Linked DNA regions of Arabidopsis thaliana. The protein of the gene in region 1 interacts with the protein of each later gene in a pairwise test. Each region holds a gene or a part of one and is shown on either strand. Other genes may lie near its edges.

What was found.
Region 2: the proteins of AT2G22760 (region 1) and SWC2 interact in binary tests that used the Arabidopsis thaliana proteins (3 or more experiments, as listed by UniProt).

The regions. Positions count from the first base shown.
Region 1 is NC_003071.7:9,675,929-9,680,230, forward strand, and holds AT2G22760 (basic helix-loop-helix (bHLH) DNA-binding superfamily protein), read left to right. Parts: upstream 1-1,915; 5' UTR 1,916-2,083; coding exon 2,084-2,524; intron 2,525-2,662; coding exon 2,663-3,040; coding exon of another isoform or gene 3,041-3,076; exon of another isoform or gene 3,077-3,168; coding exon 3,169-3,237; 3' UTR 3,238-3,574; downstream 3,575-4,302.
Region 2 is NC_003071.7:15,405,832-15,411,551, reverse strand, and holds SWC2 (DNA binding protein SWC2), read left to right. Parts: upstream 1-1,639; 5' UTR 1,640-1,863; intron 1,864-2,097; 5' UTR 2,098-2,121; coding exon 2,122-2,189; intron 2,190-2,327; coding exon 2,328-2,397; intron 2,398-2,574; coding exon 2,575-2,646; intron 2,647-2,748; coding exon 2,749-2,792; intron 2,793-2,876; coding exon 2,877-3,150; intron 3,151-3,251; coding exon 3,252-3,327; intron 3,328-3,400; coding exon 3,401-3,520; intron 3,521-3,613; coding exon 3,614-3,682; intron 3,683-3,781; coding exon 3,782-3,824; intron 3,825-4,039; coding exon 4,040-4,105; coding exon of another isoform or gene 4,106-4,181; exon of another isoform or gene 4,182-4,290; coding exon 4,291-4,486; 3' UTR 4,487-4,505; intron 4,506-4,581; 3' UTR 4,582-4,930; downstream 4,931-5,720. Other genes in the region: UGT73C1 (UDP-glucosyl transferase 73C1), read left to right, coding at 1-1,021; AT2G36730 (Pentatricopeptide repeat (PPR) superfamily protein), read left to right, coding at 4,979-5,720. UniProt on the Arabidopsis thaliana protein: Component of the SWR1 complex which mediates the ATP-dependent exchange of histone H2A for the H2A variant H2A.F/Z leading to transcriptional regulation of selected genes (e.g. FLC) by chromatin remodeling.

The DNA.
Region 1 (4,302 bases):
ATAATATGATATATAAAAAAGAAAAAGGAAAAGAGAGTGTGTGAGTAAAAGATTGGTCGTCAGCTGGATTTATGATATTTCGGCGGCATATCCCGTCCCCACCGCACCACCAACCGGAAGGACCATGGCATGGATACACATTTGTCTCACTTTATATCATAAATAAAAAAATATTATATGTTATCCAGATTTCGTATCCAAAATTTTCTAACAAAATCTCCATTTTATAATTCTACTGACCTTTTTAAAAGGCACTGTTGTGACTTCATTTCAAGAGATACGTACCAAATCTTTATTATCAAATATATCGTGACGATAGACATGTACACACATATAATTGTAGTACGCATTACTACGGAAAGAATATTCCAAGAGCTTACCAATTCCATGCCGCATACATTGGCGTTTATCCTAAGTTAGACTTAGGATTCCTAACGTTCCGAATTTGCGTTGGAGAGCAAGTTCCTGATCTGCTTACGGAAAAATATATTCAAACTCAAATTGCGAATGCCGAGACCATTTCAATTTTTGGGTTTTTGTCGAAGGGATGATGAGCAAATTAAAGCTAGTCCACCTTTTTAATAAAATTGCTTGTGAAGAAGAAACAATTAGGTCCAATATTACTAGAGACAAAGGCAATTTATAATTTTAATATTTTTGGTACTGTTTAAAAAAAACTATCAGTACCAATTGAACAATTTCTAATTTTGATATTTATAATTTAGTTAAAAATATGTTTGTCATATTAATTCTTTTTTTGCTCATATTAATTCATTATCCAGTTTTTTAGTCATTACATTTTTATTTTTTTTTTGTTTAGTCATTACATTGAATTAGTCGAATCAGTACATAATCGTTTCATCAGAGAACTAGTGAATTAAACCGACCCAGACTAATTGGAAGCCTTAATTTTGGATCTTATATTGTAGGCATATTAACTTTTTAATTTTCTTACATAAATCCTTCATATGAAATGTTTGTTTTTAAATGGCCATGGCCCAGAACCATTGCATTTTTGGGCTGGATAGTGGATGTATATGTGAATTCGTCATCATACCAACCTGGTCTGGCCTCTTATTAGTGCAGTTAAGACTAAATAACCCGTTTGGTAGGGAGTAGGGACATTTATTATGTCTGGGGTCGTTATCGCCTTATCGGAATCAAATTGAGTTTAAAGACAAAACAGTATGATCGATTAATTATCAAACACAACTTGTTTATAAATGTATAGATGTCGACATCCACATGGTATCATAACTTCTTCTGCAACATATCCCTCGATATCATATCCACCATTAATCTAATTTATTGCAGTATAACGAGTCGAGATATGTTCATGAATTTTCAAACTCATTAAAAAATTGTTGTAATTTTTTGTTTCGTAAGTAAATTTTGTTTTTTTTCTCTTTCAATTTAACAATGTAATTTTCTGGATGAAAAATTTGCAAACGGTATAAAACTTAACATTTCATATGATTTTTTTTTGGATAAAATTACAATTAAAATAATAAATAAAAGATAATAAAGTATAACTTTTGTATATTTTCCTTTATAAAAAGTAATGAGGTTGTTAGATGGACGGGAAGACGGGGACGAGGCTTTACAGAGTTTTTCTATATCCTTGTTGTTTCCGAGTGGGAATAAGCTCAACACCAAAAACACGTGCTTATTTTATTTACACGTCTCTCTTCTCTTACTTTTTTTTTTTGGGTCCATAACACGTAGTTTTTTTTTTTTCAAATTCATAACACGTATATGAATCTCAGACCACTAGAAGCCAACAAATTATACGATCATTATAGACAATAATGAGAAGACTTCTAGTTTCGATCATAATATGTTTAGTTTATACATATACGTCACGTTTTATGCATTATATACACAATCTGGTCAACATAATTATGGAGTGGAGAAAATAATTTAAGCCGCGTCTCGTTGTCGAATATATAGTAAGAATACCTGAAAACACTTTCTATTCATAAACCCTTTACGACAAAACAATAAAGACGTCTCTCGATTTATCTTTGTCTTAATCAGGAAACTATTTGACATTTCTTTATCGATTATTACTTCATATTCGGGTATGGATGAAGATTTTTTCTTACCCGATTTCTCACTAGTAGACATTGATTTCGACTTTAATATTTACGAAGAAAATAATTTATCACCTGATGAATCTTTATCAAATTCACGAAGAGCTGATCAATCGTCAAAGTTTGATCATCAAATGCATTTTGAGTGCCTCAGAGAGAAGCCAAAGGCAGCGGTGAAGCCTATGATGAAGATCAACAACAAGCAACAACTGATTTCTTTTGATTTCTCTAGTAATGTTATTTCTTCTCCAGCCGCGGAGGAGATCATTATGGATAAATTGGTTGGTCGTGGAACCAAAAGAAAAACATGTTCTCATGGCACAAGATCTCCGGTTCTTGCGAAAGAACATGTTTTAGCCGAGAGAAAGCGCCGTGAGAAGCTTTCTGAAAAATTCATTGCTCTTTCAGCTCTCCTTCCCGGGCTTAAGAAGGTATTGCAAATTTAAATTGTAAATTATCGATAAATTTGTTATATATTTAACTATAGATATTTTCATAGTGAAGAAAAAATAATAATTCATCAGTGTCAATTGGTTTTGAGAATACAAAACTATCTTGTGGTTTTTTAGGCGGACAAGGTAACGATTCTTGATGACGCGATCTCGCGTATGAAACAACTCCAAGAACAACTAAGAACGCTCAAGGAAGAAAAAGAAGCAACGAGACAAATGGAATCCATGATTCTTGTAAAGAAATCTAAAGTGTTTTTCGACGAGGAACCTAACCTATCATGTTCTCCTTCAGTTCATATTGAATTCGATCAAGCATTACCAGAAATCGAAGCGAAAATTTCTCAAAATGACATTCTCATCCGAATCCTTTGCGAGAAAAGCAAAGGGTGCATGATCAACATACTAAACACAATTGAAAACTTTCAATTGCGCATTGAAAATAGCATCGTATTGCCATTCGGAGACTCGACTCTCGACATCACAGTCCTTGCACAGGTGATCATTAATAACTATATATATATGCAATACTAAAATGGATAACTCGTAGTTCATCCAATATAATATTGATGTATTAATGAAACTGATAATCTACAATTATGCTTTCTTAACTTTTTGTGTGGCAGATGGATAAAGATTTTTCGATGAGTATACTTAAGGATCTTGTACGGAACCTGAGACTCGCAATGGTTTAGGTCTTCTTTCAAGTTTTAGTAACCTGAGACTGTACATTGACACAATCGTTTCGTGGATTTGCTATCGTTTTCTTCTTGAGATTTTTTCACACGTGCCCACATGTTTGATGTGTTTTTTTAGCAAAGCTATTTCCGATAACGACCGTTGAGAATTAATTTAGATGTAACATTTTTTGTTTGTTAATAATGAATTTAAAATATAACAGAATTGTTTTTTTATTAAGTGGCAGAAATAAATGTGGCCTTATCCGCTGTCCAAAAAAAAAAAACAAATGTGGCCTTATCCTTAGCATGGTCGTAATGCCTTCTGACTTGTTAAAGTATTTTGTAATTATTGACAAACCCTCTTCAATTCTTAATGAAATTCACATTCATGTCAACAAGAAACATATTGTAGAAAGCAAACCTTTTAACCAATCAAAAAAAAAAAAAAAAAGGAAAAGAAGATTGCTTGACATTAAAAAGATATTGTAGAAAGCAAAATTACATCGAAGGTCAATGTTACAAAATTCTGAAATATTTACGAAAAAATAGTAGGGCATGAAAATGGATTAAAAGAATTAACTTAATTATCTATAGTTTTGCCCCAATAAAGATATACAATTATAGTTTTCGTAATTTATTTTGAAAGTTTCAGTAGTTAGCAAATTCAACAACTTAGCTACATTTGCTTTCGACAAAAAAAAAAGCTACATTTGCTCAAAAAAAAATGACGCTAAATTCAACCAAATTTATTACTATTTACCAATAACTATTTAGAAGTCATAGGGCAAGGGCAGTATCGGAGGGACGTGACCAAATAATAATTGCCGCACGACGCGGTACGATTAAAAGCCAATTCAAAACCTTTGAGTACCACCTAACAAAATCATTTCTTGGATACGTTTATACTCACCCCAAATCTGGGATACTAATCAATTATAAAGTTAAGATAAAGATTTTTAATAAAAATAATAATTCAGCGCATCGATTAAGAATAAAATTACAATAAATTAAGCTTATTAAAATTTCTTTCTTATTTCTTGATTTCCGATATAAATAGTCACACGATCAAGGGTCAGCTAT
Region 2 (5,720 bases), 5.7 Mb from region 1:
CAATCTTCTTTGTACGCACATAATGCACCAAAACCACGAGTTCTTGGAAACTATAGAGTCTGACAAGGAATACTTCCCCATTCCTAATTTCCCTGACAGAGTTGAGTTCACAAAATCTCAGCTTCCAATGGTATTAGTTGCTGGAGATTGGAAAGACTTCCTTGACGGAATGACAGAAGGGGATAACACTTCTTATGGTGTGATTGTTAACACGTTTGAAGAGCTCGAGCCAGCTTATGTTAGAGACTACAAGAAGGTTAAAGCGGGTAAGATATGGAGCATCGGACCGGTTTCCTTGTGCAACAAGTTAGGAGAAGACCAAGCTGAGAGGGGAAACAAGGCGGACATTGATCAAGACGAGTGTATTAAATGGCTTGATTCTAAAGAAGAAGGGTCGGTGCTATATGTTTGCCTTGGAAGTATATGCAATCTTCCTCTGTCTCAGCTCAAAGAGCTCGGCTTAGGCCTCGAGGAATCCCAAAGACCTTTCATTTGGGTCATAAGAGGTTGGGAGAAGTATAACGAGTTACTTGAATGGATCTCAGAGAGCGGTTATAAGGAAAGAATCAAAGAAAGAGGCCTTCTCATAACAGGATGGTCGCCTCAAATGCTTATCCTTACACATCCTGCCGTTGGAGGATTCTTGACACATTGTGGATGGAACTCTACTCTTGAAGGAATCACTTCAGGCGTTCCATTACTCACGTGGCCACTGTTTGGAGACCAATTCTGCAATGAGAAATTGGCGGTGCAGATACTAAAAGCCGGTGTGAGAGCTGGGGTTGAAGAGTCCATGAGATGGGGAGAAGAGGAGAAAATAGGAGTACTGGTGGATAAAGAAGGAGTAAAGAAGGCAGTGGAGGAATTGATGGGTGATAGTAATGATGCTAAGGAGAGAAGAAAAAGAGTGAAAGAGCTTGGAGAATTAGCTCACAAGGCTGTGGAAGAAGGAGGCTCTTCTCATTCCAACATCACATTCTTGCTACAAGACATAATGCAATTAGAACAACCCAAGAAATGATTGTAACTTTTCTTAGATTGTAACTTTTCTTTTGTATTACCCAAAAAAAATGATTGTGACGTTTGTTCTCGATTACTTCTCTTTGTTCAAGAACAATTTATGATAGTTTTATTTGAAATTGTCTCTATTATCGAATCTTATACTAACATCTTAGTTAGTACATACTTATTAAGCATTCGAATTCGTACACTCAAATTGAAGAAAAAAACACAATTTCTTATATACTTTTTTTTTTTCTGTAGCTTTAGAAGAGTGTAGAAACCTTCTCCAGTGGTCCTGCATGAGATCGCAACTTCGATATTGCTTGCTCCTTGGAGTTTAGAGGAGTGTAGAAACACTTTTTGTTTGTTTACTTTTGCTTTCTCGATCATGACAAGTTGACAACTCGTGTTATATCCAAAATGACATCATGCATGACTTGAAAATTGAAATCTATCTATGATATTACCATTTCTGGACAATTTTGTTAACCGATTTATATATCTTAACATCTTTCTTTTTTGGTATTATTTACGTTACGATTTTTCATCGTAAATTTAATTTAAAATTTTATATATGCCAGTGTAAAAAGAAATTACTCAAGGTCATTAATAAAAATAAAAATAAAACGTTTTTCCCCAGCGGTCTATCATTGTAAGTTTTATTTTACAAAAAGAATCTTCTAATATAATATGGGCTTTGAAAATGTCTAAGTGGAAGGCCCATTAATATCTCAAGTCCAATAACAATGGTGTACGAACCAGCGGCACCGTGTGTGAAAGAGTGAATCAAAGAGGTGCGGCGGTCGCCGGCGAAGACGTGTGCTCGTCGAAGAAACTTCTCCAACCTAAAATTTTCCGAAGGTAACTCCTCGAGCGAGATTTTAAGCTCATCACACAAATTACTTTTCATTCTCGCTTTCATGGGCTCTTCTTCGATTACTGTGTACATCACTCAAATTTTGGGTTTTTGTTCCTGTTTCCCTCTCGATATAATCGTAAAGTCTTGAAATTGCGAGAAACCCTAATTTGGGGGTTCCTTGCTGATTTGTTAATTTGTGTGTTATGACATTTTCGTTTAAATTTGTGAACTTGTAGAAGTAAGAGTTGAGCAAGTTATCAATGGAAATCGATGAAGAAGAGCCAATGGTGTTCTTGGACCGTACAACAAGAGCAACACGGGGTAAACGGTAAGAATTACTTGAGCTTAAGCTTTTACCTGATGAATGTGTTTCACCTGAAGATTGTGGTTTTGTCTCACTGTTATTGAGATGTATCAGAAACTCTCTTGTGGAAGCTTTATTCATCAGTTTTCTGTTTTTTTTCAGGATGACCAAGTTGCTTGATGACGAAGTAGAAGAAGATGAACAGTTTTGGAATCAAGAAGCTCTTAAAGAGGTTTGTTTTGTTTTATATATAGCTTACTCTCTTAAAGAGATGTTAATGATTTGTTAAGGTAGACTAGATGTCAAAATATATAATGGAAAAAAATCAGATTTGTAGACAAGATACTATCGCAGAAACTTTCGTGTGTTTGCTGACATTTATGTATCTCTTTACTTTTGTTATCTGCAGGAAGAACATGATGATGAATATGAAGCAGAACGTGAGGTTGCTGATGAGTTTGACAGTGACTTCAATGACGATGTATTTATGTCTTGCTTATGTATTGAGTACTTATTCATCAAGGTTTTTGCTTATATTTCCATTCTTTTTAATTTCTTTCTTTTGCCTTTTGTTTGGGATTAGGAGCCTGAGCCTGATGCAGTCGCTGTAAATGAAAAAGAATTGAGGTTTGAATTTTTTCAAAGCTTGTCTTATGATGGCTATTATGTGTGTCTGTTTTAATTTTGTTACAATTTTGCATATTGTTGTAGGGATCTGCCAAAGAAGCGGCTGATTTACCCTGGGAAAACTGCTTCAAAGAAAAAGAAAAAGAAGACGAAGGTAGTTTCACAACTAGAATATATTCCTGGAGATGAGAAGCCAGGTGAAGAATTGGGAAACAAGGAACAAGAAGAAAAAGAAGAGAATGAAGCACAAGAAGATATGGAAGGTGAGAAAGTCATTAGGAAATCAACACGGACTTCAGTGGTTGTACGGCAAGCAGAAAGAGATGCATTGCGTGCTGCTATACAAGCAACAACAAAGGTTTCTCAGAACTCATCCCCACTAGCTATTTACATTCATGGCTACACTTTAATCTCTTTTCTAAGTCTTGCCATGTTGAATTCTTTTTTGTGTTTGTTCAGCCAATACAAAGGAAAAAAGTAGGGGAGGAAAAACGGATGACCCAAGAAGAAATGCTGCTGGAAGCTGCTCAAACAGGTTTGGCTTTTATGATGCTGCATCTGATTTGCTCTATCAGAAACTCAAAATTGCTAAAGTCAGGTTCTTGCAGAAATCATGAACTTGAGGAATTTAGAACGTGTCTTGGCAAGGGAAGAAGAAGTAAAAAAGAAAGCGATTGTGCATAAAGCAGTCTACAAGGGTCCTCAGATTCGGTATCATTCAAAAGATGGTAAGCTCTCCAGTAAAATAGTAATCCAGTCTAATTGGATCTTTCCAGAAAAGTAAGAACTATATTTGTTTAAACTTTTAACTTTACATGCAGGATGTAACTATTTAGAATTCTGTAATGGTGCGTCATTCAATTCAGAGTTGTCGACGAAGTCTGTTCCCTGTAAGTAATTTTGAGTGGTGTTTGGAGATGAACATAAATGTGTTCATATTGATCTATACTGATCTCTGTCTTTCTTTTGGTTTGTTTTCTCTTTTCCAGATCCAGAAAAAGCTGTATGTGTGATTACGGGATTACCTGCCAAGTAAGAGTTTTTCTGTTCTTCTTCTTTATTCATCGGAAGAACAAGATCTCTGGGATGAACACAAGTAGACTCTCTTAGGTCTACTAAAAAGAAGTTATCAGTTTCTTTGATATATACTTCTCGAAAAGAAATGATGTTATAACCTAGAAACCTGATTATCTTTTCTCTGCAATTTTAGAACTAGTTCTTAGCTGTTGTGTGTATTGCTGATACAGGTACCGGGATCCAAAAACGGGTCTTCCTTATGCAACTAGAGACGCCTTCAAAGCAATACGTGAAAGGTGTTGCTTGATCCAATTATTGCTGCATCGATGTTTTCACTTGTCTATAGAAGTATTCATCTGTTGTTTCCTCTAACGGATCAAGCAAATGAATGTTATCGAGTGAAACAGGCCTTTGATATTTACATTGTCTTTATTAGTGTTAGAATCTGATATTTCCCAGTCTTATGTTTATTGTTCTGAAGGTTCATGGACGAACATGATGGTTTGAGAAAGAAAATGGAGATGGGAGATTTGTTTGATACACTAGTGGCGAAAGGTTTTGCAACAAAACAAAAGAGAACGAAGATTCCAAAGAGTAACAAATCATTTTCCCTCAGAAGCTCAGCTCGTTTCCTTAGCTCCGAGTCTGAAGAAGAGAGTGAAGAAGATTCAGATTAATAAACACCTCCCTGATTTGGTTAGTATATTAATATAAAGCCTTTAGTTTTCATGAAACATGATCATGAACTCACAGTTGTAATCATGCTCTGCAGAATCTGCATCTCACATGATTGTGATACATCATTCATGGATCTTCCCACGACCATGGTTTTGGTTCTCAGAGATTAGAAGCGAGAAGAACATTCATGGAGGAAATTTTCATGATCAGAGCTTTGAAATGGAAACAACAACACTCTAATCAGAGATTGATCCTCCTAACCAAAACCTCTGACACCCATCTCAGAATCAGAGAGAAAGTGTAATCTTCTGTATATTACTGACCTTGTAAAGATGATATGTTTTGGTTGATAAATATCAATTTCACATTAAACCGAACCGAATAAGCTTTTGATTTTACTTCGGTTCCGTTAAAACCGTTCCAAATCTATAAATATATCACCGATTTGAAAATTGAAACTTTTTGCGATTTCTAAGAGCTCCAATGGCATAATGATTTGGAGTTCAGATTCATGCTTCAAATCCAGGAAACACCAATGTCTTATCTTCCTCAAGCTATGTTCCTCAATTAAACACCTTCTACAGATCCATGGTCAAATCCATCTCTCCTCTCTCCAAAATGACAGCTTTATCATCAGCGAGCTTGTACGGGTTTCATCACTATCCCTCGCCAAAGACCTTGCCTTTGCGCGAACCCTTCTGCTTCACTCTTCAGATTCGACTCCTTCTACTTGGAATATGCTCAGTAGAGGCTATTCTTCAAGTGATTCTCCTGTGGAATCGATTTGGGTTTACTCTGAGATGAAGAGACGAGGAATCAAACCTAATAAGCTCACTTTTCCTTTTCTTCTCAAGGCTTGTGCTTCGTTTTTAGGTCTCACTGCTGGGAGACAGATTCAAGTTGAGGTTTTGAAACATGGGTTTGATTTTGATGTATATGTTGGGAACAATTTGATCCATCTTTATGGTACTTGTAAGAAAACTTCTGATGCCAGGAAGGTGTTCGACGAAATGACTGAGAGAAATGTTGTTTCTTGGAACTCGATTATGACTGCTCTTGTTGAGAATGGTAAGTTAAATTTGGTGTTTGAGTGTTTTTGTGAGATGATTGGTAAGCGGTTTTGTCCAGATGAGACGACAATGGTGGTTTTGCTTTCGGCTTGTGGCGGTAACTTGAGCTTGGGGAAATTGGTGCATTCACAGGTGATGGTAAGAGAGTTAGAGTTAAACTGTA